Struthio camelus: one gene and its partner. The protein of the gene in region 2 interacts with the protein of the main gene of each other region in a pairwise test. Links are inferred from orthologs where the notes say so. Each region holds a gene or a part of one and is shown on either strand. Other genes may lie near its edges.

Region 1 (15,563 bases), on a different chromosome or scaffold from region 2:
GGGATCAGTCATTGATGGATAACTACTGTTCTGTTAAAGAAAAAAAAAAGGTAATTTCAGATATAAAAACATCGTTTATAAAAAAATCACAACACTGTGCATCAAACAGAAAAGAATGATAGGGCCAAAGTAATTTTATTTCTAGCTAAAGATTTTTAGTTCATGCTCCAGGTTTGCTATTCCACAAACTCTGTCCATTTAAAAGGGTACTGCTGAAACCTGCTCACTTCTACACCAGAGATGCACTCTTCACACCTTAAGCAAGTAAGAAGTTAAAGTATTTGTAGCTCCATAAATCAAAGCAGCATGATCTTCCTGTCCATGCTAGCTGCGTTTCTTGCATTTGAAAAGAAAGATTCATGGCTAAAACGTAGTATCTGGACATTTAAAATTTGGTCCAGGAGTACTGCCTCACAGTAAATTTAGCACTTGAGATTTTGAGACCATGTAAGCTCAGTTACGTTACTACAGGGTATTTAGTGGCTTCATCTAGAATGTTTTAATCTATCAATATAGCAAAATATTTCAAGGCACTTAAACAACAGAATATATTTTGTATCACACAGCACTTGTGATAGCAAATATTTTCTGATTGCCAGAAGACAGTTGCATAACAGTTTTAGATGAAACTGCTTTAATAAAACAGCATATATAATAGAAAACATGATTACAGTCCTTACTATTGAATTGCTTTGAGGGACCAACTGCTCCTAACAAGCGAGACATACCTCAAGTGGTAAAACATTGAAAGGCTCCTTCTGACACAGACGCAAGACCACAGTGAGATCAGATACAAAGTGTGCCCAGTTCGGTATAAGTAGACCTAATTACTAGAAACTCAGATTACAGGTGACTGGTATGCTAGAGATAAACACAAGTAAATACAGCATGCAATATATGCCAGCAAGCCATCCAAACTTTGATCCCACTCAAGCTTCAGCAAAAGTCTCTTCTTCCCTCAGTAGTAAAGTCTTAAGTGTGCAGGACTGCTCCTGACAGGCCTTCCAAACCGCCCATCTTTTCCACTCTATGAAATAGACTGACCTGTTATAAACCAGCAGATCCCTCTTTAAAGCTCTAGCTTTTCTTCTCTTTTCTCCCTCTCAACCGCTTTTTAGACCTGAAGAGTCTTTCCTTCCACTCCAAATCTTCAACTGACACCTTTTTTTGAAGTATTCTATAACGTTTCTCATAGTTAGCAATGTAAAAGAGCAAATATAGACTATTCTAAAAGAGGTATTATTCTTCCTTATAAAACTTGAAACACAGATACTGGAGACCTTCCAAAATGAAACTCTAAATGTAATTAGAGTTACAGTGAGGGGGAGGGAAGGTCAACATCTCCTGTTAATGAGTCAAACAGTAGCTAATCTTCCCTTACTCACAGAGAAAGATGATTTTTAGTAAGAGGAACTAAGACTTCTGTAAAACCTTAATTAAGGTTCCAAAATTGAAAAAACATATTTCACAAAGTCAGCTAAACTGCATTGACATTTTAGCAATTTTTTCAAACACAAGATTATTTCTCACCTCAGTCAGAAAAACTAAGAAACTTCTTACTAAATATATAAGCATAATACCCTGATACATTAGATTCATTTTTATTGCTCATCTTTCAGTGATGACAGACTTCCACAAAACCCAAAAGCCAGACTAGTTCAACATCCTTACTTTCCATGTAAAGAACGTTTCCATAAAAAGTCGCCAAGACCTATATGTACACACCATAGAAACTACTGAAATTTAAATAGCCTAAATCTAATGTTATCTTTTTTTGATTCAAGAGACATATCACCTCTACCACTTCTCTTGTTGCCTTTATTAACGTGCAAGTTCTATCATTAACAAGAGGTACACAACCCACCTTGCTATAAGATGATTCTCCAAAATGTATTAAATTTTCTAAGTCTCTCAAGCTAAGAGAGTCAATATTTAGCATACCAAAACATCATTTTTCTGAGTCACTTTGAGATTGGTATCTATGTGTTTTATCTTGTTGTGTTAATATCAGAAAAATGTAACAATAAATGCTGGTGGAAGGGGGAGCTGTAAATAGTTCCTAGCTAATACTTACTACTTTTGTACGTTCTACAGATGTAGTTTAAGATCAAAAAGAACAAGCCTAGACAAGGCAAGTATTTTGTCCCACAATATTTCTTTAGTGATTCGACACGATTCCTTAGACTGTTACCTTCTGTACACACAGCCTGTAAAGTTTCCACAAGGGTTCTAACAAGATTAAGGGAAAGTTTCAGCAGACATCCTTACAAAACATTCAATCTATTTTGACTGGCCACAGAGTGTAAGAGAAACCCTGATGGAAGTCCTTCACTGCAGCAGTTTATCTCAACAAATTTATCCTTGACCTTTCTGCACTTCTTCCATGCTTTTTAAAAGCAATCTTTGTGTTAATTAGGAAGAGAATCCTTCTTTCTCCCCGAGTACTCTGCTTGCTTGTATTATGATACACTCTCACAAAAAATCTTCTGCTTCTGGATGAGAGTACATCTGGGATACCTTCCTTACTTTGAGTATATCTTATGTGAGCACTGTACCTCATTCAGTTCCCTCTGCACTGAGAAACACTTTTAGTGTGCTTAATAACAATCAGCTATCACACTTCAAATTTGATCTGCATTAACTACTGCTATTTAAATACTAGACCTTTTTTTGGCAAAGAAAAAGACAGCCGCCCTTAACTAGGTACAGTTTTCTATACAGAGATAGGAGACAAATCACATTTGATTATTTCATATGCTTAATACTCATTTTAAAGATTAATTTGTATTTTTACAAGACTAAGTTTAACACAGTATCATCATCCTATGTTTGATCTTTGATGTCTAGTATACTGGGTTTATCAGCAAGGTTCTTAATTTCTTTAATTATTTTTTCAAAATTCAGTTGCTTCAAACTTTTTTCTTTTAAATCAACTATATTATACAGTAACTTTAGAGGGCATACATCTGGCTGAGTAAGTAGAAATAGGCTTTGTTCAGAGATATGGTTGTCTTTATTGCAGAACCTCAGAGAATCCTAACTAATGCTACTGTCGCTTCCCACTTAAAAATATAAGACAACCTACACAATCATTTTTTTGCAGCGTGCCACAGTTTCTTGTTGCATGTCAGTTTCTTGTTGCATTTACAGGTCAGTCAGCAGAGCTATGCTTTCATGTATCATCACTTTATTAGACTATGAAAATTAAATCATGGAATTCTATAAATCGTACCAACTTTGTACATTTAATCCTAACAATTGGGCTTGTTGAGAGCTAACAAATACATTACTTGGAATTAAAATATAAGAGATGGTTCTATTTTTCTTCTACATCAAGTAGAAGGTTAAATGTATTTACATTAGAAAATATATCTTGGTTTTAAATAATTAAAAATTACATACAAATAGAAGGAAGTGTGATGACAAGAAATCACAGAGAGAAGAAGAAAGATACCAAGAACATGCATAGTTTTCTTTCAAAACTGATTTTGCATAAAGGGAATTTCACTTCTTTTCATCTTAAACTTCCTGCATTTGTACTTGCAACAGTATAACAATTACAGAGAACAGGACACATTCCCCCAAGAAATCACATTAACTTTGCAGAAGTCGGGAGAATATGTCTATGCAGCAGAGAACGATGAAGACCTCTGAGCGCAGCTCAGTAACCAGAAGCCTCAAAGCGCAGAGCTCAGAGCACAGTTCATGTTATCATATATATGCTTGCCTTGACTTCCGCGCTGGTGTGTCTAGACTGCTTCCAGGACTGAGATGAGCTCAGGTATCTCTACACTGCACTGCAATCTGCAGCCTCCTGTAATCTGCTATGATCCAAACTAAATCTGTAACACAGTTCCATCTATCTTTCTGCCCTAACACAGTGTTTAATATGCCTGGAGAATACCTAATTCACGGTATACGAATTGACAACGTTTGCTCTTGAGTTCACATTCAAGATTCAGTCACAATTTCCACACATGAAAGAGTAAGTCATATTACATACTATCTTATTTCAGTGCGTAGAAAAATGCTCTTCTGCAAGGAAGCTTAATGATGTCACCAATATTAACAGTGGCATCTATCAGCTACCAGCTTCATAATGCTGAATTGAAGTGTCCCATTTAAGACATACCTCTTAGCCTTTTTGCCAAGAAATAACAGCGTGCCTCTGCTAAGTCTCTTTCTCACACTGTATTTTATATTTGTGAAATGAAACCTCTTTTTAGCTTCCAGTTCCTAGACATTTTATTCATTTTAAAGATATAAGAAGTTACCTGAACTAGAAGATATTTTGTATTATAATTAATATTTAAGTCATGGATGTTTAGTGATGTACATGATAATGAACTAGATCATATTCCAGTGCCTTACTCTTAAAAAATACCACATTTTAAAGGCATTTCAGAGGACACAAAGGAAGAGCAATATTTGCTGATGGGTTATAAGTGGAATCGCTCTGTAATCTTTTCTAGAAAGCACTGAAAATAAGTTTCAACTACAGTAATTTTCAGGCTTATTTTAAAGACAAACCAGGAGACTCTCCAAAAGCAGAACCTCCAGAGTCTCATGTGTAGCTCATCTATCAAAGAACTGCAAGATCAAATCATCTGTCATAGTCCAACTGTATCAATAATCTGCAATTTGAGAAGCAATCAGTAGACAAGAGTTGGAGCGTTAACTTCATTTTCACTTGTGGCCATCTGGATACACGTAGCTGTATTAGCTTTGGGAGTACAAACGCTAGTTGCATTACTAAGTAACACAACATGCTAGTCATTTATTTTTCTGCTTCTATTTAAGTAATTTGCTCCTTCAATACAATCCTACAAATTGGTAGGATGCCTACCAGCATGCCCAAGAAACAAAACTAAATTACAAATACACTAACCTGGTTTGACTGCCCAGAAAGGTAAGGTTCAAAGTCGTTGTCATGAACTGTATCCTTCTGGTGTAATGAACCATTTTGTACTGGAAGAAGAGAGTTACAACAAATCACAACACTGCTTAGTAGCATTTCAGTAAACAGTTCCACCCTAATGTTACTTTATGAAGAGTCATATTCTTCTCCATGGCACAAAGAATCTTCAAAGATAAAAGGATCATACTCATCCCCATATAATCTTTGCATTACTGCTTGTAACAATTTGAATATATTTAATTTAAACCTCTAAATTTAAAAAGTTTAATTTTTCTACAGATGAGTGAATCATCAACTCATGTGAACTATTTCTGAACCAAAAAACAACAATCCTCGACAAGAATGTGTTGAAAAATATTGGGAAATCACATCTAAGGCCCTGGTCCACGATTAGAAATCTCAGAAACTAATTAACAACTCTCCCTGCATGTACTATCTATTGCTCGTTTAAGTTAAGTTGGCCAAAGTAAGAAAATCAAGTGAGGTTGTATTTAATTTTAAAAAATGACTGCGGATTATCTTGATATCCTGACAACATTTGCAAGCAAAACACAAGTCTCACCTTTCTCATGGAGGTATCCACGAGACTGAGATTTATACCTTAATCAAAGGCTTATATAAGCATAAATTAATGTGAAAAGCATTCAAAACCCATTCCTGAAAGATATTATACGAAAGCAAAATTGTTATTAGGTCACTTCAAGCAATTTCCACTGTTTGTTTTAAATTTAAAAAAGAGATCATACACACTATGTGGTGGGAAAATAAAGCAACTGTTTCATAGAACAGCTAAGTTAAAAATAACGCTATATGAAATAAGATGTTTAACAAACAAGTTTGGGAATTTATGAGATTTTTGAGAAAGTCCGTCAGCGACAACAGCATGTAAGAGAGTACTGATAAACACGGGATATAGAGTCAAACTTCTGGAGACTCCAGGCAGTTGAATTTTAAATTTTTTTTGTTTAAATATCGTAACCAGCCTAAACGAATGGCAAGATTTGGTTAGTTTCTAAGCCTCAACAGTTACACACTTATTAGCAATCACAATAATAATCAGAGTATTTACTTAAAATACTTGTTATTTAATTTTAATTTCAGATTAAGTACAGGAATTGTCATAAAAGTCTTACCTCATCAGAAGTGGGTTAACTATTGTTATTTCAAATTACTTAGTTTGTAGACTTCGAATTACTTAGTTCGTATTATGACAATTAGCATATATATGTCAACAGCAGTACACTAACAAAATTGTATTTATATAGCAAGAACACAGTATGCAAAAGTATGTGAAAATATATCTTGAGTATGAGGTCTCTGTGACTTTGTTATGTTGAAAACTGCTTTACTTTAAGGAAATTAAGAGCGTTATTATAAATATGCTTAATGCTAACCCACAGTCCTTCCCACTATAAACTCGGTAGCAATAAGTAGGATGCAAACGTGCTCCTAAGAGTAACGGTTAATATTATTTTTGAAACAAAGCACAACTTCCTTTGTTCCAGATGTTATCTGTGGGGACTGACAGCAATACTTATCTGCTTATGAACAGTTACCTGCATGATTTATCTGTTATAACAACAGTTTAAACAGCAAAATCTCAGCATATTCCTTACCTTTATTATCCTGCCCTTTCGGTCTCTGGGAAGCCACAGCACATGACAGAGTAAAAGAAAAAAGGGGAGGGGGGAGGACAGAAAAGAAAAGTTAATTTTGGAAAAATGCTCATATCGTCACTGCAAAGCACGCAGCTTATAGAGACAGAAAAAGTCTCTTAAAAACGGCTAATGACAAATCGAGGTTTGTTTAAACCGGGGCTGAGGCGTTCATTTCAGGTATCATTCGGCACTGGCCTTCCTCAGAAATGGCCACGGCTCTGGAAAGGCAACGGGAACGCGAGGTGCCTGGGGGGTTAGCTAACAAGAAAGATGAAGCCAAAAAAAGGAGCCGGGAGGCAGGGGCAGATCCTCTCTCGGGCCCGGGGCAGTCCCGGGCTGCAGGAGGACCCCCGCCCCGGGGCGGGGAGGAGGCAGGCCCTGCGCCCCGCTTCGCCGCTTACCTGAGGGTCAACGCTTGTGGCAGACATAATTCATGTACAGGGCCGCCGTGGTTCAGCAGAGAGGGACGGGGCTGAAGGCAGGGCCGCTCGGCGGGGCGCGGCGGAGGGGCGGCGGCGCCTCTCCCCTCAGGCGGCGGCCGGGGAGGGGACGGCGCCGGGGCCGAGGGGAGGGAAGGGGGCCGCTGGCGCGCGCCGCCGCCGCCGCTCGGCGTCTCCTCAGGGGGGCGCGGAAGGCCGGCGCCGATACCGGTGCCGTGCCGCGCCTGGCCTCGCCCTGCCGGCCCCGTCTCCTCACATAACCCCGGCCCGCGCCCCGCCGCGCCGCGCCGCACCGCCCGGGCCTGCCGCCGCCGTCGGGCCGCAGCGAGCGACGGAGCCGGAGCCGGAGCCTCCACCTCCAATGGCGGCGGGCGCCGGGCTGCGGTGACGTCAGCGCCGAGCGCGCGCGCGGCACGCCGGGAAAGCGCGGCGAGGCGCAGGCGGGGGGAGGGGCAGGTGGGCCGGCGGGGCGGGGCGTCACCGGCCGCGCAGGCGCAGTCGCAGGAGGGCGGGAGGCGCCATCGCCTCTCGGCCCTTCCCCCTGCCGGCTTGAGGGAGGTTCCGCTTCGCCCCACGCGGCCGGAGCGTCCTCCGCGCCCTCGCAGCCGTCTCCGGGCTGGACCGGACCGGGCTCTCCCCGCTCAGAGACGCCCACGGTGCAGCCCGCTCGGCGGCGAGGGGGGCCGCGCAGCAGCTGTCGGCCTGCCTCGGGCCGCCGGGCTGGGCTCGGGGTCCGCCCGGGCTCGGCTGCTGAGGAAATGGCGGTGCAGGCCAGGCCAGGCCCGGCTGGGCCCGGGCCCGAGCCCGAGGAGAAGCCGCCATCGCGGCCGCCCAAACGCGCGGCCCTTGCGCAGGGGCGGGCGGAGCCGCGGGCAGAGAGTACCCAACCACCTGCTCGCTGCAGCTGCTCTCTCCGTGTTTTTTTACCAGGTTAATTCACTCTTGTTTTCCTTCCAGCTGGGCTGGGTGAAGTTGAGGCCCCGCGACCAGAGCTTGCGTTGACTTCAGTGGGGCCAAGGGTTCAGCCGGTGGTTTTCAGGGAGGCTGGTCGTTCCCCTGCGTGCCCTGCCGAGGGGACGTGGGAACGTGAAGCTTTATTGAATAAGCACACAGAATAAGCACATGGTCAGCACTAGCTTATACCGAGTTAGGCATCAGTAGCTGGATAGTACTTTTTAGGGAGGCTTTGGCATTTCCATAATGAGAAATCAGATTTGATGAAAGGAATGCCCTTTTTATTTCTAATATTTATGTTCCAGCTGTTTCTCTGCTTCTTCCTACACACACACACACACACACACACACGCATATATAAAAATATATATTTTCAAATGGGTAGGATATCTAATGACCACAACAGTTGATGGTTCTTGTTAGCTTTTTGGTAGTGCTTAATGTCCCTGGGTCAAGGGACTGTTTATAGACCTTGCACAGAACAGAAAGACAGCCCCTGCCCTTCCCAAGGTCTTGTAGTCTCTTGGATGGCTGGTTATAATATGGAAAAATATGTATGATAATCTTTTTCATATCTGTTTCAGTTCAAATGACTAAATCATAATGTTTCATGGTGAAACAGGAATCAGCGTTGTGCTGCTTTCTTATTGTTTATGTTGTCGTAATACTCAGAGGTCTTACTGTCCGTGTAAATATAGCAAATGGTAGCTCACTCAGTGCCCAAATAGAGTATGGTGGACTGGGAACCTCTTAGGCCAGAACAAAAGAAAACACCTCTCTTGTGAACGATAATGGTACTAGGGGAGAAATGGCAACTATTGGCAATTGGTAGAATATAATTTTCTCTGACGTCTTTGGGAACCGGTGCGGTAACAGAACTTATAGCAAAGAATTTTCAGTGATTAATAATATGTCACCGAAATTATGTTTTAACATACTACATAGCTGTCTGACGACTCTTTAAGGAATGGAAATAACTGTCGATAAATTAGCTAGAAACCTGATTTTTTTTTTTTTCTTATCAAAATACCTGCAGAGATTTAGTTTGGTCACTCTCTTTTTTCCTTTGGACGTGCCTTTTGTTTGCAGGTTTCTTGACACAAACGCGCACAATTTATGGTTACCTGATGTGAGCAGTATAAGAGCGCATGAGGAAATGAATCAAGATCAGGCTGCCAACATATGCATAATATGTTGTGTCATTGCTTGAGGTAACAACTTATTTGATAGTTTGGGGTGCTGAATGAAGCATATCCAAGTTATGCCCCAATTCTGTTACAGTCAGGAAGCCTTTCCTATGGTTTTTCTCATGCTAAGCAACAGGATACATCGTATGAAATTGAGCTATTGTCTTGTCACTTGGGTTATGCCCAAAGTGGGCCTAATACTAACTTGTATGATGTTGATATCTGTTGATATCTTATTACTGAGTTATGCAAGTAGCTAGAACTCTGCTCAAGTTAGGAAAGACTCTGACGTAACGGGTAGCAGTTCCGGAGTTTCTAAGGTCTTACTTGTAACATCTCTGTGTTCGGTTTTGAGAGGTGAAAGTATAAAATTCTAGTCATCTTGAAAGATACAAAACAATTCAATCATCCTTTCTTTAGTTACATTAGAAAGAGAGTCATCCCTGTCTTCAGAAGGTCAAGAACTGTTGAGGTTTGCATTTGTCATTCTGATAGAATATCATGATTTATAGCAACAGACTGGGCCACTGCCCTGGAATGTTTAGTCCAATTTCTTTTTGTCGTTTTCCTGGTCAGTCGCCACGAGGTAAGGAAGAAAGGTTATAGCATCAAACCTCAGCACCTGGAGATACTTTGAGGTTGTGCGTTAGCTTAGTTTGCAAGTGATAATTGGTTTGTTTCATTTTAATTCTGTTTGCCATATGGTATAGCTATGGACAGAGTTGGCGAGTCTGTGCTCTTGAGAGTCCCTGGATGAGATGGAAAGGCTATCCTGAGGAACAGAACTTCAGAAAGCAGTGTGAGAAGAAAGCAAGCAGCATGAGATGAGAGTGGGCCATCTATCTGAAAGGAAGAGGGAAAGGTTTGTCCAGGGTACTTGGGTGATGAGCGCTGTTTTGAAGTCCATGTGATTGTATATGTTCAGTAGTCTTGATATAGAAACTATGTGACTATGAATCATCCTAGCCATGACTGTGGTGTAGGCAGAACGTTAGAACTATATTTTCTTCAGAATCCTAAGGTATGGGGGACTATAGCTATTAGACTGTACCTGTTATGTTAGACTCAAATATAGAGTATATTAAGGTGTGTTTGTGTGTATATATATTGTGTACCCCCCCACACACACACACTCTATCCCTAACTCCATATTTGTAGGAACATTTTTTTCTTTGGCATTAGGAAATTGTGAGTTATTTCTTCTTCCTGGTAACTTTAAGAGTGCTTCCACCCATCCATAAAGAAATCACGATCTTTTAGAAACAAAACCAGTAGGAAAAAGGGTCTATGTTAAACCATACAGATGCAAGCAATATTCAGAATGATATCAACTAAACAGAATCATTTCATCTAAACCCAGCCTACTCTTGGAGAGTTACATTGTAACCTTTAGTATAACAGGTTTTTGTTTAGTTTTGGCTTTGTTGAGTGAAAGATGGACCTATGTTTTAGTAAGGATACCTTTTCCCTGCTTGGTTAATGCTCTGAAATCTCGGAAGAGTTAATGTGTAAATTACAGAAGATCATTTTTGTTATTTAGATTTTACAGGGATTTGCTGCAGCCCTTTCTGCTTCGAGCATGAGGGGTAAACATTACCATACTGGAATCTTCTCTGTTGCCCCTTGTCCCCTTACGGAATGTAACCGAAGCATAGATTCAGCTTTAATTTCCATCATTTTAAGGTGAAAAATAAAGGCAGGCACACACAAAAATAGTATATTCTTTTCTGTTTTCATGTTGCTGGCATGGTCTTCTGTGAAAACATGAGAAGAGGAATCGTATCCAAAGTGTGGCCTGTGAACAGATGATATCACCGTCACACACCTGCTGTTATTTACAAGGCAACCTCATTGTAAAGCTGTGGCAAGAAGCTCAGCGGAACGAGGGCTGGCCACATGGCTCTCCCAAGTGTTCCTCTTGATCTTCTTCATTGGCAACTCTTTGTTGCTGTTATCATCTAGTTTCCATTAAATTGTAAGGATAATCTGGTTTTGCTCACTTATTAGAATTGGGTCACGCATCTTTCACTTCAGCATCTTTCACTTCTGCAGCATCCTTCAGGTGGATCTGTCATGCTCCTCATTTGTCATTCTTGCTATCAGTTACTGGTAGACAAAATCAACCTATTTGAGTGAATTTACATGAAGAGAAGAAACAGATGATTGCTAGTGTAAATAGCTCAGGAATATACCTTTTGCCTATTATCCAAATAATATTCAGGCAGCTAGGCACATCTCTGTGCAATATAAACATGTTCCAAGCTATGGCAGAATTTAATTGGAAAATTAGATGTTCTGTGTTCCTTGACGGCTGATTTTCCACCGATTAAAAAGTGGGATGAGCTCCATTAGATTCATAACAATGCCTGACAAATCCTTCTTTAAAGGTAATTAATGGCGGAATGGTGGAACATATATTAGTCACAAGCTGATAGCAATATTTCCTGAAGAGCTTCATTATGGTTTTTTTTTTTTTTCCCTGAACAATCTGGAGTAGCAATGCCACACAGTTTAGATGAAGCTACCTCATCTTTGGTTCCCTGTATCTCCTGCCAGGCTTTGAGTAGGTAGAGGGAATACAGTACAACTGTAAGACACTTCCACATTGGAGCTGAAGTGCAGCAGGAAATGGTTGGAGAGGTGAGAGGGAGAGGCAGGAGTAAAGAAGGTATGACTGATCTTTGGGAAAGTCAGCCAGATTCTACTCTGAAAGGGAGGCAGAAAGGGAATATTTTTCATACTTCAATGTTAACTGTGAGAATTGCTCGTAGCTGTTCATTTCTCTCCTTAAACTAAACTGTATTCTTAATCTCCTAACTTTTTTGACTGTGGAAGTTTCTACAACTCTCACACTTTGCTGCCACTCAGCAGAGCAATAATTCATTAAATTTGGGGCAGTACTGAAATTTTTCAGGGATTCTTCTTTTTTAGGCATTCAGAATTTTGGGGGGAACAAAAATAAAGTATACAATGAGTTGGTTTTGTTTGTGTGCTTTTTTTTTTTCTCCTTTTTTCCTAATGTTTGTATTCACTGGCAAAAAGAAGACACGGTAGAAAAAGAAATAAAGAGAAAAATATCTTTGAAAGTGAAGCTGCCAAATTTTTGAGCTTCAGAAGCCATGTAGAGAAATAAAATGCTTTCTACAAAAATTCTGGTTGTTACCTTTTGAAAACCTAGTAAACACAGTTTTTAAATCCACTATACCTTACAAAGAATTTTTTTTTAGTAGGCTGAACCCCAAACTCAGAAAGTTGTGAAACTGAGAATAAAACGTAGTAATGACACGTGAGAAACGCTTTGCTTTTCCTTATTCCAAGGAACTAGCATGCTAGTTTGCTTTTCTTTCAAAACACAGTAGGATTTTAAGGCCAATTCTTCTATTGGCTGTTTGAATATCTGCTGTACTTTGCAGATTTTTCTTTTGATCTCTACTGTGCTCTGCTCCTGTGAGCTAGTATATTAGTAGTATTTGATTCTAAGCGCTCTCATGGTGTTGCAAGTTACATTTTTAGCTATTCCCCACTGTTAAAATACATAATGTTTTGAGGCAATCAGATTCTATGGTAGTAGAGGCCATAGGAAAGAGTTAAGGGAGGAGGTTGGAAGGGTGTAATCCTTAGGAAATCACTTAAATCATAAGTTTATTTACTCACCTGTGTATTAGTTCTGGTAGTATATATTCGTGGTATGTGTATTCACTTTATAGCATCGTTTTTCAGGCTTCCAAGCATTAGCTTGTTAATCTTTGGAGGGACAAATCTTTTATTATTAGTTAGTAATGTCTTAAATTTGTTTCGTTAAATTTTGTTAAATTTTTTTGTAACTGTGTTGAATTTGGTTTTCATTATCATGTAAAAAATTCAGGAAAGGAATTTAAAATAATCATCAGGTGGAAAGTGCAGCAAGGGAAACCTTGGCAAGCAGAGAAGAGAGCACTTTAGATGTATACTAGTACTTGTTATGGTTTAAAAAAAAAAAAAAGCCTTGAGCTGAATGAACATTTAAGCTTTGCCCTAGGGGAATGACTTTGTGTTTCTCTCTGGTGCGACCAGTCACTTTTTGATGTGCTTTGTCATTACTCACTGGGTTAGATCATGCTTCCTGTCCACAGTGGAGTTATTTTATGAATGCCTTGGAGTTTTGTGTCAACAGGCAGCAATGTTCTTTGGTCCCTCAGTGCTGCATTGGAAGGCTCAAATTGGAGCTGAACAGACAGGCACCATAGAAGATTTTATCGATGCAGGAAATACAGTGCCAGCAGCTCTTAGGGGAGCAGCAGAGCGTGAGTGTTTTGCTGCAGGATGATACCAGCTGGCCATTCAGTGTGAAGGGAGCTCAAGGACAACAGACAAGGAAGAGGCATCCAGAAGAAGAAAAGCAAGGCCATAAATGGAGTCACAGAAGCAGTTGCCTACTTCTGTGGCAACAAATTGGATGATGCTACCTCTTCTGCCTCAGCCTGGCAAGCAGTTACACAACCAAGTCTGAACCAAATCCTGTTTTCTTCTCAAAAATGGATCCGTGTTGTCTTGTAGAAGTTTAGGGTGGTTCTGAGCAAACAGAAACAGGAATTTTGCTATAAAATTCCTCAGTATCGAGCCCCCTTACACATCAGTTGCAGTGGCAAGCTATGGCACTTGTATTCCTGTTCCCAGCCTCTTTGCTTCATGGATAATACCAACTGACGCGATTTTTTTTTTTCTATTACAAAAGCCTCTTTCCTCACGAAGTTTCTTATTTGGTCTTAATTTATCAACGAGTGCACAATAGTGTTCCTTAAGCTAAACCAAACAGCAGCTTTGTCAGAATACAGCTGCATAGGGCCTCAAGATTAGAGATGCTGAACTCCGTTGGAGTTTTTCCAGAGGTTCCAGTCACTTCAGCTCTTTTGAGCTATTCATCATGCTGTCTGGCCCTTGTATTTATTGAATACTTTCCTTTCAAATCAGGGCAATATTAACATTTTAACTATTTTCAATTAATTATGTTTGTATTCCTTTCTTCTTAGACTTTCAAGTCACTGGCTAGCACTGGTTTCCAGTTGGCCCTGGAACGAGCTCAGCAATGCATTTATTGCTGATCTATCCTGGACACCTGTACTCTTGATGCTTACTGATTCTTTTTTTTTCTTTAGCTTATTACTCTCTTTGGTTTAACAAGTGTTCACAAGTTCAGTAGGACATTTTGTTCTCTAAAAAGGAAATGAAAGAAATTGCTAAAAAAGAATAGAAATAAATTTTAACATGAATACATAATTATAATACAAGACATTATTAGTTGCATACAACACGTTACCTAATACATTAAATGCTGTCAAACATTGTTAGCCTGCTAAAATAAACCCCATCATTTCTTCTTGAGCGTGCTGGCTTATTTTTAGTTTCTGTCTGCAACAGACTTGATGTTACTTCATGTTCTCCTGCTACAGTTGTCTCACTGATTCTTCTGAACTCTCCTTTGTTTATGAAGTGATTCCCCCCAAAATCTTACATGAGGGTCTCCTCACAGAAAATAGCAAACCGGTCTTGAAGTTTGCATGAAGTTAAAAGGATGGTATGTAATAGTGCCAGAATCAGCCAAATGTCACAAATTGGAGGTCAAATGTCAACAGAATAAATACGAACGGGACTGTATACCTTTGTTGGCATGTTAGAGTACTCTAACTCCTGTTCTGTCTGAGCAGTTTCAGTAGTGTTAGTATTATCTGTTTCATAACAATAATGTAATCTTAGTGAGATTTTACTGCAGTGTGGGATTAGACTAGCAGGTTTGCTCTGGGGAAACAGTAGTAGTTAAAATAGGTTAAGGAGATTCTCCTTTAGCCAGTTTTCTCGGGAAAGACTTCTCCGCTTTAGGGCCTTAACCTAGAAGCAACTTTTTGGCTCCTCTGAGGTTTTATACAGCTTTTTGCTCTTTAACAGGCTTGGTGGATGGGGAAGTGAGGATTTAGAAAAGAGGAAGGCTTGTTCTTGGCACTACCCAAGATACCTCATAAACTTGGTAAGTTACTTAGTTACCCTGTGTTCAACATCACTGTCTTTAAAATGGGGGTAAAGGCTGTATTTTGAGAGGTTTCCTTCAGGTACTCTCAAAAGCAGATTTGCCCATGGCGTAATGTGATGGTGGAACCAGAGCACCAGGCATCCTGGAGGCTCTCCTCTGCAACAAGCAGTGTTATACAGGTTTGGCAATTCAATACACCTTTAACACAAACAACACTCTGTCAGTGCTGCCCTGTGCTGCGGACAGATTGTTTGTGTGTTGCATGAAAGCATCCCAGAAGCTGCTTGCTGACTGCCTATGAGGCCGAGGTATGAACGTGAGATCGGCAGATCAAGGAGTATGCTGTGTTCCCAACTGCTCCTGAGATCACATTTTAAAAGCAAGGTGGTTGCTTGTAAAATG
Region 2 (15,719 bases):
TGAAGTTGCCAGGCGCTGAGCTACTAAGAGATGCACCAGCACTGTTGAAAACTATCATCTGGCTGTCAGATCCCCTCCTTTCCTGGATATCAAAGTATTCCACTCTACTCCTGCCCCTCTCAAGTCTCGTCTCATCTTCCCTGCAGTGCATTTCTTCTCGGAGGCGGCAGGCCAATGCCCTCTGCTCCTCTCCTTACACCGTTCACATGGAAAAGCCTACCCTCCTTCCTGGCTTTAGCAAACTCCCACTCACACTAACTTACTCAGAGATCTGGGGCATTTGGTCAGAGTCTGGTGAATTTGGTTTTCCTTCTCCATTGATTTCCCTGTCAGGCCAGATACGTGTGTGTGTGTGTGTGTGTGTGTGCGTGAGCGTGTGTGTGTGCACGCGTGTGCGCACACACACACACACAGAGAAATAGAAGTTCTAACTTGCTTCCTGCCCATCCAAACCTCAGTGTCCTCCTTGAGAGAAGCTACAAGCTAGCCAAATTTTCAATGGTGGTCTCTGCTTTGGGCTGCTTCTTTTCACGCTTGGCCACCCTGCTGTGGGGGACCTGGTAGTATCACAGCCCGTGTCAGCTGGTGAGCAGAGAGAGGAGAGTGCACCATTTGCACTATGTGCTATTGACGCTCAACAACAACATATAACCAAAGGCATTAGTGTTGCCTCTCAGGAAATCGGTCACTTGCATACACTCATGCAGCCATCAACAACCCAAACCATCAGCAGGTGACTCACACAGGCTTGTCCAGGTTGGCTTTATGCACACCTGCTACTGTAATGAGCAAGTCTCCAAAGGTCTGTTGTGCATCTCCAAGGCAACAATCCAAGGCCAAGGGAATAGATGTGCTAATTAAAGATGAAAACAATACAACCTGGTGTGGAGATCAAGAAGCCAAAATAATCAAATCAAAGACAATTGTACACTCATTATCAGGTGAGTACGTCACAGCCCCCACACTCAAACTCACAGCTTTTCCACGTGTGCTGGGGCCGGCCCCATGGCCGTTTGTAGACTCTCATGGCCCAGCAGTGAATCACAACTGGGCTTCTCTTTTCTGTGCAGAACTGGGCATAATCTGAATAATGAAAAGACATCATCAGTCTCTGCCACCAAATGGAAGAGCATGGCTCCATTGCATCCCCGGTCCATGAAGATACCCCCAGGCCTTGGTATGAAGTGATGAATTCCTATGCTGCTCTTCCAAAGACCTGCCTCACCTTTTACTGGCCTGTGTATAAGTCAGGACAACCGGTGTAAGACTAGAGCTGGTGGAATTAGACCCACAAAAGGCTGTGAGGGAGCACTGAGGACAGTGAGAAGAGATTTGGGCAGAGATTGAAGAGCAAGTTTCATGTGGATGAAGTTCAGTGCACAACTCTACGCAGGACCCATTCTGGAAGGACTCCTACTCTGCTTTCTGACCTACTCCAAAAAGCTGAGCCAAGTAACCCATGGACAAAAGAGTCAAACTCACAACCTCCTGCTTCATCTTCCCAGGATTAATTAGAGGTGAATGCAGGACTCCTGTTGTATGCTTCACCCTTCCTCTAGTGAAGAATCCTGTCAAATAGAAAATAACCATTCCAGAGGGCTTTCAGCCATTGTATAGAGTTTTATCTATAGAAATGTCTTGTGGTCTAAGGCTTCCTAGAAATAATAGAATTCCTATTATATTCTACAGCTTTGTCAAACATCTGCTCTACCTCTATAAATCCCCAACCGGCGGCTTGCATCATGCAGAGTGATGTACAGCAGAGCAAACTGAAGGCTACATGCTGTTGTGCGATTTTGTTATCACTTTGCTCAGCTGCAGCCTGCAGCATAAGACAAGGCCTTACTGCCCTGGTGTTCATTCACAGAACTCCACAGTCCGTTAGGAAAAAAGCAAAGCTATCCTGTTCTCTTCCCCACCCAGAGGCCATTCAGTACATATGAAGTATTCATTTGCCTCACTGGATCAGGCCGTGGTCCTTCTAGTCTCCATCTGTCTGAGACAGCAGCCAACATCAATCAGCTCTGCAGAAGAAGCAGGCAGTAGATAGTCATAGCGTAACCTGTCCATGGGAGAATGTTCTTTCTAATCCGATGAAGTAGGAGGCCCTGAAGTGTGACAATCCATTTCAAATTCAGTTGTGTCTAAATCAGGAAATGCCTCGTGCCTGCACTGACTTCATTAGCTCATCCGAGATGGTTACGGGGAAATTCAAGCCTGCGACTAAGTGAACAGGGCCTTAGGAACCAAAAGCCAGTCAGCAAGAACATGAGAGAATTTAGCTGTCATATACGTGATGCAGGAGAGAAGACATGAGTAGCTCTGGCAGTTCTCTGTAATCCCATTTATGATGCTGTGTTATCCAAATATAAGGAAATGCTTTTAGAGACAGACCTCAACTAGAACAAAGGGAGATTAGGTTTCAGGTATAAAAGGTTTATTTTTCTCTTCTCGTTTGAGGCCTAATATTCATAGAGATGTTTCCATAAAATTGTTTTTAAGGGAATAAAGAGGTGTTTTCAGGAGCAGGAAAGCTGGAACGTCTCACTTCCCTAGGCTAAAGCAGAGTATGAAATTCTGGGAATAGGAAAAGAACATGAAAACCTAGGAGTTTTGGCCTTCACCCCACACTGGTTTGAATCTGATCAGTGAAAGCAAAGACTGCAACCCTGCTCTCGCTTACATTAACTGATGGCATGGGGCCCCTCTGTACATCTGATTTAGCATCTGTGGTCTTGCAATGCAATTATGATAGCTCTGCTTTCAGATTCAGTTTGTCTAGTTTCTTGGGGTCTAATCCCAGCATTTGTTGTATGGATAGCTGAGCAGTTCCCAGGGTACTGCCTTATTTCTGTGTGCTAGGTCATGAAGAGGGATATAGTCAGAGCTAGCAAAATGGGCTTCTGCAGAGTCCCTCTTACTAATGCTTGCTTTAAAGTGGGACGTGATGAGAAGGAAAAAGTGAAACAAAGGCTGTAAGTCCTGATCGTAGCTAGAAAACATGATTGAGAACACAGATATCACCTAGCTACTGCTAGTAACGGGCCACGGGATACAAACGTAAAGTATTCTAAACTGTAATATTATTGTCTCTTAGTGTGTTCTGGTGGGACATCATATTTAGCATTTTTACTTGCATTTAGCATCTCAACATTGCATTAGTCACTGTACAAACACTGAGGAACAGCAGGGGATCAGACAAATTTATTTTCTTTTTGATGGGGTAGAGAGTAGATAACTGTCAAGTACTATTTTTACTGGCACTGATTAGGAAGTTTTTCAAAGCAGTGTTTCTATCATAAGAAAATGTCATATTTGCCATAAATAACATTTTTGTGGAAATTTATACTTTCTGGCAAAAATGCTCCTCAGGTCTAAGATGGAGCTACTGTTTAAAACAAGTCCCCAGGACAGTCCATGGGCTAGCCTTGGTGCCCTCTCCCAAAACGTGGGAGATGTCCATCCAAGTCTTTGTTCTGAATCTGTCCATCTCTGGCCCTGAAACTACTGAAGCATTACATGTACAAAGATTTACTTTACAGCATAGCGGGAAAAACCTTGAGCCATAGTTAAGACAAACCACAGACTCGACCAACATTCTACCTGAATGGCCCTAACCATTGGGCAACCTTGTTCTGGCTGGTGTTTCTGGAAGCAAAAATCCCTAAATGCCAAGTTTTCATTGTGCATCAAAGGATGAATGTCAGAACCTCACTGTTTTCACTGAAAAGAATCCTTTTTTCCCCGGCCTGCTCCATCCTGTAAATAACTGCAGCAGGGAAGCCCCCTGTTCATGCATGACGTGTGCTTTCCGTACCAGAGAGAAACAATCCTCTTGGTTACCCAAGTCCTCTTCCCTCTTGAGTATCATCTGCTTTTTGGCATCTGCGGTTGACTGAAGGTCTCTAGCTCTTTCTTCCCTGGCTAGACCTCAGCTGAAGGATGCGGTCTGAGTGCCCCATGCAAGGCGCGTGCTGCGTTGCTCCCGCATGCTATGCGGCAGGCTGCCTGCTTCCTTCTTACTCTCCCAAAGGCAGGTGGCCGCTCTCTCGAGGTCCCCTCCCTCGAGGTGCCTGGAATAGGTCCAGCAATCTCTACTTCTAGAGGTCCTTCATCTCCCCCCAGCTCCCATTCTCACCGCCCACCAAATCCCACCGCCGAGGCAGGATGGACCCAGTTGCCACTGACTCCAGTTGCCCCTCACAGGGTTGGGGGGAGATAGGGTGCCCCCAGCCACAGTCTTATTTGCTGGTTTTTTTTTTTTTTTCTAGTTATCCTGGGTAGGAGCAGACTCACGTAATTGTTGCTCCTCATAGCTGTTGGATCAGGTAGAAGTTGTTCCTGTTCATTGTCCTGCTCTGGCCTATGGGAATTGCAGGCTCTGTTTAAAAACAAGATGCCAATGAAGCATTTCTGTTTGCCAGGCTATTGTTTGTCCTTCTAAAGTCTGCGGACCTACACGACTCTCAGTCAGAAAACGCTGACTGCCTGAAGGACAAAACAAAATGACTATTTAAGGCACTAAAAATGAAATCACTTAAAACAGGGCTGATTAAAGGAGGAAACTATCTTTCCAATGAGAAGTGAATTGGTTTCAGCTGGCTTTAGCATGGAGCCTCGCCTGCAATGAGAACCGAATGCCAGTTGCTTGACACTGCAAGTATTTTGGAGACACTTCATCAGCCATTACTTCAGTTTTTCCCTGTGTGTAACTCTGCAAAACAAGGCCGCTCCTTCTGCTCCTCCTGGTTTGGTGCTTTTTCTGCAGATCCTGTGATCTGCAGAAGTTAGCAAGGCTGTTCTTAGTGCAGCTTTTAAAGCCCAAACTCCTTTTCACTGCATCTACGCTGAAGCCTTCACTCAGCCTTGACTATCTAAACAGCAAAAGGGTTCAAGAAAAATTCAAGCAGCATCATACATCTTTCTTACAACGAGGCAGTTAATATTCTTCAAAAGACTCCAAAGTTTGTTGGTGACATGCTAAGTTTTCAACACACTCAGAAAGAGAAAAAATAGGGAGATGTAGCTGCAAATGCTAAGAAGCTTTACCAGACAAGGACCTGTTCATTACAGCGCTTGCTCCCAGAACACGCTGAAAAACACTGCTAGGAGGGTGTCTGCTTTTGTAGTTACACCTTTGTTTACTCTCTGTCAAATCCTGCTTTTCAAAGAGGTTAGGGAAAAAAATCAAGACAAATATGAAAATCCAGTTATTTGATGTAGAGGCCTAGAAAGCTTGTCTCAAAACCACAAGGAATATTTCTGAGAAAGGTAATGCGTGACTACGTTAGATGAACCTGACTGACTTTTGTAGCAATTCATAAGGGGTCACTGGACTGCACAATATATCAGTCTTTTATTTGGCTTTAAATCTGAGGATCAGCAACTGTCCCAAACAGCACTAGAGCCAAAACGTTGCAGAGCTGATGTGGATATTTTAGCAACAAAAACAGGTGTCTTTTCAAAATGACATTTCATTCACTTTAGTGCATCCAATTATGAAAAACTACAAGCTGCTCTGGGGACAAATTCAACCAGATATTTCAGGCTGGAATTAGTCACAAGATCTGCACTGACAAAGCTGGAGATATCTCCCAAAAAATAAAAACAAGGACAGATGAATCCATATTTTCCCAAAATTTATCAAAGGAATTTTAAGAAACGTCAAAGTAATTGATTTTGTAATGTCTACTATTCAGGATATGCATAATTTTATTTCCTACCTTGAAACCGTCATGATGACCACAGATGTGGCAGGAATGCAAGTTCACGGATGTGTTTGTGATCACAGTTCCAACTTTCAATCACGACCATCTGATTCCCCAGCTCCATGTGTTGCAAGACAGCTGTTGTTTTACCGTTCAAAAATATCTCGCTTCACCCCGCCAAAGTGAACTATCAGCTGCCTCCCAACGTGCTGACGCTGATGAGAATAAGTGATTTTTGGTAGAACTGGATCCCCTGCTGCGAGCCAGGAGACTTTGGCTGTGCCTGACAAGCTTGGCTTTGATCACAGCCTGGCCAGCGAGTGAATCCTGCATACATGCAAAGACAGAACTGGTCGCTTGTCATGAACAGAGGCTGCAGGGTTCACTTTGAGGGCCCCCGAAGCAAAGGTCATTACTTGAACATCTCCGCAGCTCTAACGTTCCCTCATAATGCAATGCTTTAGTGAGTAGTTTGTCTCATGACTAGATTTGTCCCTTCCATCTCATGAGATCACAGAAAGTCCCTTTTGAGTTCACTCTCTCCTTTAATTATTAACACAATTCCTAAATATTTTAGCGGGAGCTAAATATCTATGCTCAGGAAGACACGGTCTCAGCCTGGAAGACCCAGCCACCAAAGACCCTTTGCCTGGGGCATAACGCAGAACGGGACATTAACTTACCATGGGGCATAACGTGGCATGGGGCATAAATCGGCTCAGGGCTTTAACTTGACATGGGGCATGACTTAACAGTGGGCCACAACACAGCGTGGGGCATAACTCGGCACAGAGGTTTAGCTTGGCATGGGGCATAACTCGCCACGGGGTTTGCGCGGGGTAGAGCATGAGATGGCTTGGGGTGTGCAGTGGCATGGGTACGGCTCCCAGTGGGGCGTGCAGGGCATGGGGCATGGGGCTTGGGGCATGGCTCCCAGAGGGGCATGGGGCATGATTCCCAGAGGGGCATGGGGCATGGGGCACGGGGCATGGGGCATGGGGCATGGGGCACGGCTCCCAGCGGGGTGTGCAAGGCATGGGGCATGGGGCATGGGGCACGGCTCCCAGCGGGGCGTGCAGGGCATGGGGCATGGGGCCCGGGGCACAGCTCCCAGCGGGCATGCTGCGGTGGGGGGCACGGGGCACAGCTCCCATGGGGCATGTGGTGGTGTGGGGCATGGGGCACGGCTCCCACGGGGTGTGCTGCAGCGGGGGGCACGGGGCACGGCTCCCACGGGGCGTGCGGCAGCGGGGGGCCCGGGGCATGGCTCCCACGGGGCGTGCTGCAGCGGGGGGCCCGGGGCACGGCTCCCACGGGCGCGGGCGGCAGCGGGGGGCCCGGGGCACGGCTCCCACGGGGCGTGCTGCAGCGGGGGGCCCGGGGCACGGCTCCCACGGGGCGTGCGGCAGCGGGGGGCCCGGGGCACGGCTCCCACGGGGCGTGCGGCAGCGGGGGGCCCGGGGCACGGCTCCCACGGGCGCGGGCGGAGCGGGCCCGGAGGGCTGCGAGCAGGCAGCCGCGGGGCTCGGCGGCGGCGGCGGCCGCGTCCCCGCTAGAGGGAGCAGGAGCCCCGGGCTGGCGCCGCGCCGCAGCCGGCCGGTGCGCGGCCCCGCGGGCCCCGGGCCCGGGCGGGCAGGGCTGGAGGGCGACCAGGAGGGAGGGGGCGGAAAGGGGGGAACTTGATGCTGTCTCTCTCTCGGCTCCCTGTCCCGGCTCCTGTCCCCTGCCCCAATCCCCTTCCCCAGCCCCTATGCCCTGCCCCAGCTCTTGTCCCCTGTCCCAGCCCCTATCCCCAGCCCCTGTCCCCTGCCCCAGCTCTTGTCCCCTTCCCTAGCCCCTGTCCCCTGCCCCTGTCCCCTGCCCCAGCTCTTGTCCCCTGTCCCAGCCCCTGTCCCCTGTCCCCAGCCTCTGTCCCCTTCCCCAGCTCTTGTCCCCTTCCCCAGCCCCTGTCCCCTGCCCAATCCCCTTCCCCAGCCCCTATGCCCTTCCCCAGCTCCAATCCCCTTCCCCAGCCCCTGTCCCCTTCCCCAGCTCTTGTCCCCTTCCGCAGCCCCTGTCCTCAGCCCCTGTCCGCTGCCCCAGCTCTTGTCCCCTGCCTCAGCCCCTGTCCTCAGCCCCTGTCCGCTGCCCCAGCTCTTGTCCCCTGCCCCAGCCCCTGTCCTCAGCCCCTGTCCGCTGCCCCAGCCCTTGTCCCCTTCCTCAGCCCCTGTCCCCTGCCCAATCCCCTTCCCCAGCCCCTATGCCCTTCCCCAGCCCCTGTCCGCTGCCCCAGCTCTTGTCCCCTGCCCCAGCCCCTGTCCTCAGCCCGTCCCCTTCCCTAGCCTTTGTCCTCAGCCTGTCCCCAGCCCCAGCCCCTGTTCCCTGCCCCAGCCCCTATCCCCTGCCCCAGCCCTTGTCCCCTTCCCCAGCCCCTGTCCCCAGCCCCAGCCCCTGTGCCCTGTCCCAACCGCAGTGTCCTGCCCCAGCTCACCCCCAGGCCCTGTCCCCTGCTCCATCGGGGCAGGGACGAGGCTGCGTCGGCCTCAGCGGGGGAGCAAAGGAGAACGGCCAAGGACGGGGGAGAGGCAGGAGGCCGGGGCGGGATAAGGATGGAGCCGTTCTTCCCCGGCAGGGCTGCGGGTGCTGCCCCCGGGGATGGCAAGACGGGTGCAGGGACACCCCTCTGCCAGCCCAGCGCAGCCCCGCTCCCGGCGGGCCGGCGTCCTAGGCCCCGCGCGGGCTGGCAGGCGCTGCGGCGGGAGGACGGCCAGGGCGTTATTAATAACCTGCTGAGTCGGGGGGGGTCTTGGGTTTCAGGATCACAAGATGCGGACGCCGAGCAGCTCGGATGGATTTCCAACCCCCCCCCCCGCCACTGCCGCCAGCTCTTGCTTTTCACATTGACGGGGACAACTGCGAAGCTGGCGGGGGGCTGCGGCCGGAGGCGGCGGGGGACGCGCGGTGCTGGTTTAACGCATCGCCTTCGCCGCTCCTCGCCGCGCTGGCAGCGAGCCCGGCAGCCCTGCGGCGCGGCGCTGCCCTGCGGCTGCGGCTACCAGCGCAGGGCACGCCGGCCTGGCGGCTCCCGCCACCTCCAGAGAGGGGTTTCCAGCCGCCGGGACCCGCTAGCTCCTGGCTCGGCCCCGTGAGCTCAGTCAGGACGGAGCAGCCCCCTGCACCCCGAGCGTAACCAAATTGCATCGCAGGGAGACGAAGGAGCCTCTCGGGCTTCGCTGTCAGCGCTGCTTCCCTGCAGCAGCCTCTCCGCAGCCCAAGCGAGTGGCGTCGGGGCTGCGTGTCCTGCTGCTCCCCGGGCCGACGGGGCCAAGGTCCTCGCGAGACGCACAGAGGGTTTGGAGGGTCTTGCAGAAAAGCACACCGCGCTGTTTAATTGCAAGAGTTTTTTGCAAGGGATAATAAAAACCCCGCAGGCTGTTAGGTCTAGCCGGCAGGGGACAGGCTCAGCCCTCCCGAAAAGCACGTGGTGCCACCCCGACGGCCGCCGGGTCACCTGCGTTTCCCCTGGCGCGCTTGGCAGGCCCAGGGCTGCTCCGGGATGGCGCTTCCCTATGCACGGCTGTGGAAAAGCAGTCGGCGACGGGGCACAGATTAACTTTCAGCTCCAGCCGCCCGCCGGCGCGGCGCGCACTGCCAGGGTACCAACAGCCGCTGAAGGAATAAGAGCCACCCCAGGCAGAGGCCGCGTCCAGCGGCCACGCGTGGCCGAGCCCTCGGCCCTCCCGGGTCCACATGGTGACCGGGGTCCGGGTGGTCACGTCTGGAGCTCTTTAGGGCCACGCAACCCAGCGGCCTGGGGGTTTCCCTCCCGCCCCGCTCCCCTTTACCCCTGCCCCAGCTCCGCCGGTGCTGCCGACAGGGAGGATTCCCGGGCATCCAGGCTGGCACCCAGGTGGCACCGCCACCTATTTTTCCACCCAGGACAGGACCAAAATAGATCTGTCTCGTGGCTCTGCCGCAGCTGTCAGGACACGGCCCCGGCTGGGCGGGTTTCCCTGGCCCCTCTGCCGTCACAGCGCTCAGACCCCGGTGTCTGCAATCGCTGTTGCTGTACCTGCCGCTCACGGCGGCGGAAATAAGTGACGAGCTGAAGCTGCGCTCGACTCCTGCGTCCCCGGAGAGGTCTCACCTCGGTGCAGCAGGCTGTCTGAGCGGCAGAGCCCCGTTCATTTTAATTAGACTGATAGCTCTCAAATCCCATTTACCTTTATGGGTGTGTTAGCATCTCACTGCTCCCCCCATCCAAGTCCAGATTAAAGGGTGAGCGAGGAATACGTTTCGTGGCGATATCACACGTAGGCTGTTAACCCCTGCTGCACCCCGGCGAGGCCGGACCACGTCGCGGTACTTCTCTGCGACGAGTGAACCGAGGCGCCGGGAACCCTGGCGCGGCTGGCAGCAGCCTGCAGCGTTAAGCCACGGATCGGTGAGAAACCCAGTCGACAGGTTGTGTTTTAAAAGGGGTTTAAACCTTTTAGGACAGGCGTCTTTTGACAGGCAAAAGAAGGACAAGCCCTGAAAGGCGGTAGCCCCGCGAGCCTCCCGTCTGACTAGGTGTCCCCTCCCCGTGGGGCCCATGCAGCTCGCTTGGATTTTAGTGATCATTTACCATCGCGACACATTCCAGCACTTAAACGAGCTCCTTGAGAGGTGGAGATAAGGTATCAGCTTTCCGGTTCATCTTGCCAGTCCGTCTGCAGCAGATAAGGATGTGGGCAGCAGGAAGAAGGTTATCTAGAAAGGAAGCCGAGCAACGGCTGCTGTTATTGCAGGAGGCTTGGAGAGGAGGAAGCCCACCAGGAATCTCGCAACGCATGCAAGCCCTTCCCGGCTGGATTCGATCGGCCGTCGGAGCCCAGCTGAGCCTTCCTCCCGGGGGGACGGCGCCTTCCCGCGGGGCTGCCGCGCCGGCCCTGCTCTCCCGCGCCAAGGTGCCCCCAACCCGTTGCTTTCCCTCTCCGGCCTCCTCTCTCCCACCGTCACCTGCTCGGAGGAGCTGCCAAAGGAAGCGCCGGTTTTGGTGTCTCTGCCACCCCTTCCCGGAGACCTGACCGCCCTTCTGGGCCGAGGGCTCGGCGAGAGGGAAGCTTGCCGCGCAAGACGGGGGGGGTCCCGCTGCTCTGGCTTGCGGCCGGGGCCCCCGGAAACCAGCCCTCGGCTCTCGCACTGCTCACCGAGGAGCGGCGCGCGCAGGAGCCTAGGACAATCCCCAGCCTTTCTTAACCCGAGGATCGCCTCGCTTTTTGGGAGAGGGTGGCGGGGGAACAAGGCACGTTGGGGAGGGGTACATTTGCAACCTAGGAAAAATTTGCCTTCCCTTTGGATAGCCGTTTGTTACTTTATCTCCCAGTCTTTATTCACCTGCTGGCTGGTGCAGGAATGATGTATGCCATTAAAAAAAAAAAAAAAGCCGTTTTCACTCAGACTTTGCCCCTTTCTGCCCCCTCTGAATCTGCCCAGATCCCCTCCCAAGACATCCTCACCACATCCCTCCACGTGCTCCTCTATTTCGCTGAGTCCTATTAATCTCCACTTTACATAACCCCGAGCTTGAGCTGAGCGCAAAGGCTACGCACTAACACGCCGTTAATGCACATCTGTAGGTTTGGCCTGAAAGCAAACAGAAGCCCCTCGCACCCGAGGAGAGGGCAAACACCGCAGGCAGCTTCGGGGGCAGATCGCAAGGGCGAGAGGGCAGCAGCCGCGCGCATCCCCGCGGCCGACCTCTGCGGCCAGACGTCGGGGCTGAGGCCTGAACAACCGCCGCATCGAGCGCGTTTAACTACTGCAAAGCCGCTCGGCCGCAGGCAACCGGCACCCAGCGCCCCGAGCGCCTTCGTCTCCAGGCAAGCGCGTCGCTGACATCCAGCGCTTCAGCGCTCGCCTCCTCCTCCCGGTGCTCTTGTCTGAGTCACCGTCTGCCGGCCTGACTTTCCGCCGCCGCCGGTCGCGGGCAGCCCGGGGCCAGCGAGGACGGCGGACGGCGCCCCGCGAGCCAGGCTGACCTGCAAGATGCAAAGAAGAGGGGTCCTTGTGGCCAGCACCCACCCACAACCCGTGCGCGGGTCCCGAGGGCGAATCGGGGCCGGGGGGGACTCTGCAGGGACAGGGGAGCTTCGGGCGCCCGGAAGCCGGGTGTTTCTGCTTGAAATTTGTTGGAAACACTTCAACTGGGGGAAGAGCTCAATGCGATGCCTGCAGTCAAGTCCGCTCCCGTCCGGCGGAGAGGCTCCGAGCCACCGCACTGTGACGGGAAGGGCGCCGCCACTTCCAGCGGCCTCGAGCTCGGGCACCTCAGGCCACCGCCGCGTCCTGCAGAGGCTCCCGGGGCCGAGGGGCGACAGCAGATCCCCCACCGCGGCGGAGCGGGGGGGACCACCAGCCGCTCCAGCCACTTTGTTGGGGCTGCGCAACGAGCAGCTCGTCGCAGGCCAGCCGTGCCGGGAGAGGCCTGCCCTGCCCGGCGAGCAGGGTTTCCCCGGGGGACGCCCCGCCAGCCGGGGGTCCCGCTGGCTCAGCCTCTCCCCCCGCTCGGGCTGCCAGAGCTTAACAGCTTGCATGCGACGCCCGCGATTAACTTTTCCTAAATCTGTAATTCTTCCCTGCCTTCTATTTTTATAAAGGCAAGGGGGAGGCGGGGGGGAAGGTGGCATTTACAAGGGATTTCACTCAAATAACGAAATAAACGTGATCAGCCGGGGGACCCTTAATCCGCTTTGGCTCTTGCGTCCCGGGGAAGGGGAGGGGGAGAGCTTCGCTGCCTCCGGGGCCCAAGCAGGCGGGAGGGAAGCAGCCCCGTCGCCCCCCTTGCCGCAGAGGGCAGAGCCCCCAGGACACCCTGAAACCAGGCGTCCGGCCGTGCCCCCCGCACCCCCCGGCAGCTGGAGGAACCGTTTTAATCTGGGGGTGTCTGCCCTGCCCAGGGAGCTGTGCGCGCCAGCAGCGGCAGCGGTGGGAGCCCGGGCGCCTGCCACCAGCCCCTACCGCTGGCAGGGAAAGTGCCTCAGTTTCCCCGCCGGAGACCATCTAGCCGGATTTGGAAACGCTGCACGAAGGCGGAAGGTTAGACAGGGTCACGCTTACCTCCCGCGGGGGCTGCGGGGCGTCAGCCGGGGCTCTGGCGTCGGCGCGGGAGAAAAACACCGTTTCGGTCCTTGGCTCTGGCCCCGCGGCTGCTGCATCCCGTGCCCAGGCCCGGCCCTCCGCTGCCAGCAGGGCTTGCCAAGGCAGCGCCAGCCACCTATTTCGGGTGGCCCAACACATATAAAAGCCACCAGCTGCATTTGCAAGGACTCCTCGTCCGGCTGCGCTACTGACCCCCCCCGACGCCCCCTCCGCAGCCAGCACGAGAAACACGCTTGTGCAAAGCGGAGGATCCAGCCTATTCCTTTAGGCTTTGCCCAATATATTCAACTTTTAACCTGGGGAATGACATGGTTAATTACCACTTTAATACGCAAACTTAACTGGAAGTCGTGCAAACGAGCTCCCTAACTGGGGAGGAGCCTTTGGGCCCCAGACAGGAGTTTGCGGTCGCAAGGGATGCTCCGAGCGAGCGGCAGCGCCGGGCAGCCGTGCGCTGGCCGGCCCAGAGCCGCGGCGGCCGGTTAAACCCGTGCGTCCCTTCGCTCTCATCGGCAACGTCCCAGGGTGAATGAAGGGGGGGCCTTCATCCGAGGAAACCCAGCGCAGGGTGGGCTAGAGCCTCAGCCGTGCCACCACGGGGAGATCTTGTATAACAGCCTCCCTAATCCGCCCGGCCCAAGCGAGGCTGGACGTCGCGGGCTGGTGCGAGAAGGGATTTGTCCCACCTTCGTCTCCCCGCAGCCCCAGATATTACCGAGGCTGCGGACATACAAAACAGCTTGTTCAAATAAAACACCAGCTTAGCTTGGGGAGGGGGGAGCTAAACACCCCTGCCGTGATTCCCACATATGCCCACAGATATAATCCAGATTTGCTGCTTCCCTGGCATCCTTCATATTTTTTAACAAATTAAAGCCTCTCTTTTGCTGCCGAGCGTAAGCAGCATCAGGGCGAGAGGAGGAGGGGGTGTTTGACCGTACACGGCAGAAATACGGACGAAATCCCCGTCGCCGCTGCCACAGCGCCTGGGACGCTGCCGGCCGCGCTCGGCGGCGAGGGCAGCCGCCCCCCGAGCCCCCGCGCTGCGCTTGCCTCCGCCGCGGCGTTTTCTTGCGCTGCAGCCGCTGCACGGATGGAAAGTCGCAAGATGCCCAGAGCCGCAGGCGGGACTTGCTCCTGCCTCCGGGGCCGGGGAGCCCTGCCGAACCTGCCGCATTCGCTGCGAGGTGGCAGGTCCCAGCGGGCCGGCGTCCCCCCCCGAGCCTCGCACCCAGAGCCCGACACAGCCCAAGCCGGGGGCTGAAGGGTCAGGGGACAGAGCCACGCTCCTGGGCAGCCACCGGGACCCGCTGGGCCTTTCGTCCCTCTCTGCCGCGACCTGTGGAAGGTCCGATGCGCCCCTGCCCTCCGTTTGGCTTATTCCCACCTGGTCGCAGACGCAAGGTGTTACCGAACTAGAGGGGTTTTTTTTTTTTTTATACCCTTGGTGCGAGCACCAGCACAAGCTCCACGAGGGCAGAGAGCGAGGCCCAAAAGCTAACAGGCCTCAGTTTCAGAGTAACACGTACCTCCAGGACCCACCGGCGTTTCGTACAGCCGCACAAAATCCCACGGCGAAACCCGAGGCCGGCCGAGAGCACGACCAACGCTGCCTCCAGCGCGGGGCCGGGCACCGCTCCCGGCGGCTACTGCCAGGGCTGTGGCCAGCTCCAGCCCTCCGAGACCCTGCGAGGGGTGATAAAGCCCTGCTGCACCTGGCGGCCCGGCTTTTAAGGACGGTGACGACTGCGTCCTTGCGCCTGGCTGCAAGCAGGACTCGCAGGCTAGGAAGCCGACGGCCTCGGCACAGCCACAAACCCCAAACCCGCGGAGGTTTTCCCTTCCCTCGCGCTGCTGTACCCAGCCCCAGCAGCGAAGCTGCGTGAGCGCGGCGCCGGGGCACCGGTCCCTCACCGTGCTGCCTCCCCGCTGCCCCCGGCGCGAGCGCCACCGTGCCGGGAGGGACAGCATTATTCGCACTTACAGCTTAGGGCAAATCCCCGCAGGTAGCACCTTGTCGGCGGAAGAGCGTCTCCGCACGGCAGTCGAAGCGAGCCGGGGCGACGGGGCCCGGGGTGTCCCGGAGGCAGTCACAGCCCGTTCGGGTACGGCGATGGCTCGCGACCCGTCGAGCTCTGCCCCGGAGCCGGCCGGGTACCGCCATCCCCGCCTGTTGCTATACGGACAGAGGCCGGGTACCGCCACAGCGATGCTGCTCGTTTCTTAGCGCTAACTTGGGCATGACAGGCAGCCGGGAGAGGGACGCACAAGCCCTCGCAGGCAGGTTTTACGTGAGCAGTGCAGCCACGGCGCTGTGCTGGAGCCACGAGGGCTCCTGGGTCTTTGCTCCGTTCGGGAGAGCAAAGAGGGGAAGAGCAGAACAAACCAAAGCCGCCCTCACAGCAGGCAAACTCAGAGCACCTCTCGCCTCGCTGGGAGAGCCGGGCCCGGCCGAAACGAGGCTCTGGGGGCAGCTCCCCACCCTCCGCCGTTCTCCTCACCATGCGGCGTCCGCTTCACCAAGGGTGGGACTTTTAAAAGCCACTGAAATGATACTGGTGCCAAGAGCAAAAGGGACACGCTCCCTTCAGTTTGAGCTGGACGCCTTCCAGCGCTCTGGGCTGTTGGAAACAGGCCTGAACTCCACCAAAATGAGCATGTCCCCAGGCACAGCCGGGCCCTTCCTCTCCCGGCCCTCCTGCCTCGCTGTTCGGCCACACGCTGCGGTGAGCCTCTCCTGTTTACACCAGCGCGGATCAGGAGTAGCTCCTCCAAAGCCATCATCAATATACCAGGGTACAGACTAGGAAAAGTGTGAGGAGAACTGGACCTACGGACGCAGCTGTAGATGAATCCAGCCCATTTGCAAAGGCTCAGTAAAACCCAGAG

Evidence for each region.
Region 1: the proteins of PRRC2B (region 2) and YTHDF1 interact in a two-hybrid assay, tested with the Homo sapiens proteins (2 studies listed by BioGRID, with this or other methods). The link is inferred for Struthio camelus from reciprocal best matches to the Homo sapiens genes PRRC2B and YTHDF1.

The regions. Positions count from the first base shown.
Region 1 is NC_090959.1:16,633,729-16,649,291, forward strand, and holds the start of YTHDF1 (YTH domain-containing family protein 1), read right to left. Parts: upstream 7,142-15,563; 5' UTR 7,005-7,141; coding exon 6,978-7,004; intron 6,560-6,977; coding exon 6,535-6,559; intron 4,969-6,534; coding exon 4,889-4,968; intron 31-4,888; coding exon 1-30. Other genes in the region: BIRC7 (baculoviral IAP repeat-containing protein 7), read left to right, coding at 9,982-10,019, 15,080-15,158.
Region 2 is NC_090961.1:6,035,120-6,050,838, forward strand, and holds the start of PRRC2B (protein PRRC2B), read right to left. Parts: upstream 6,094-15,719; 5' UTR 5,724-6,093; intron 1-5,723.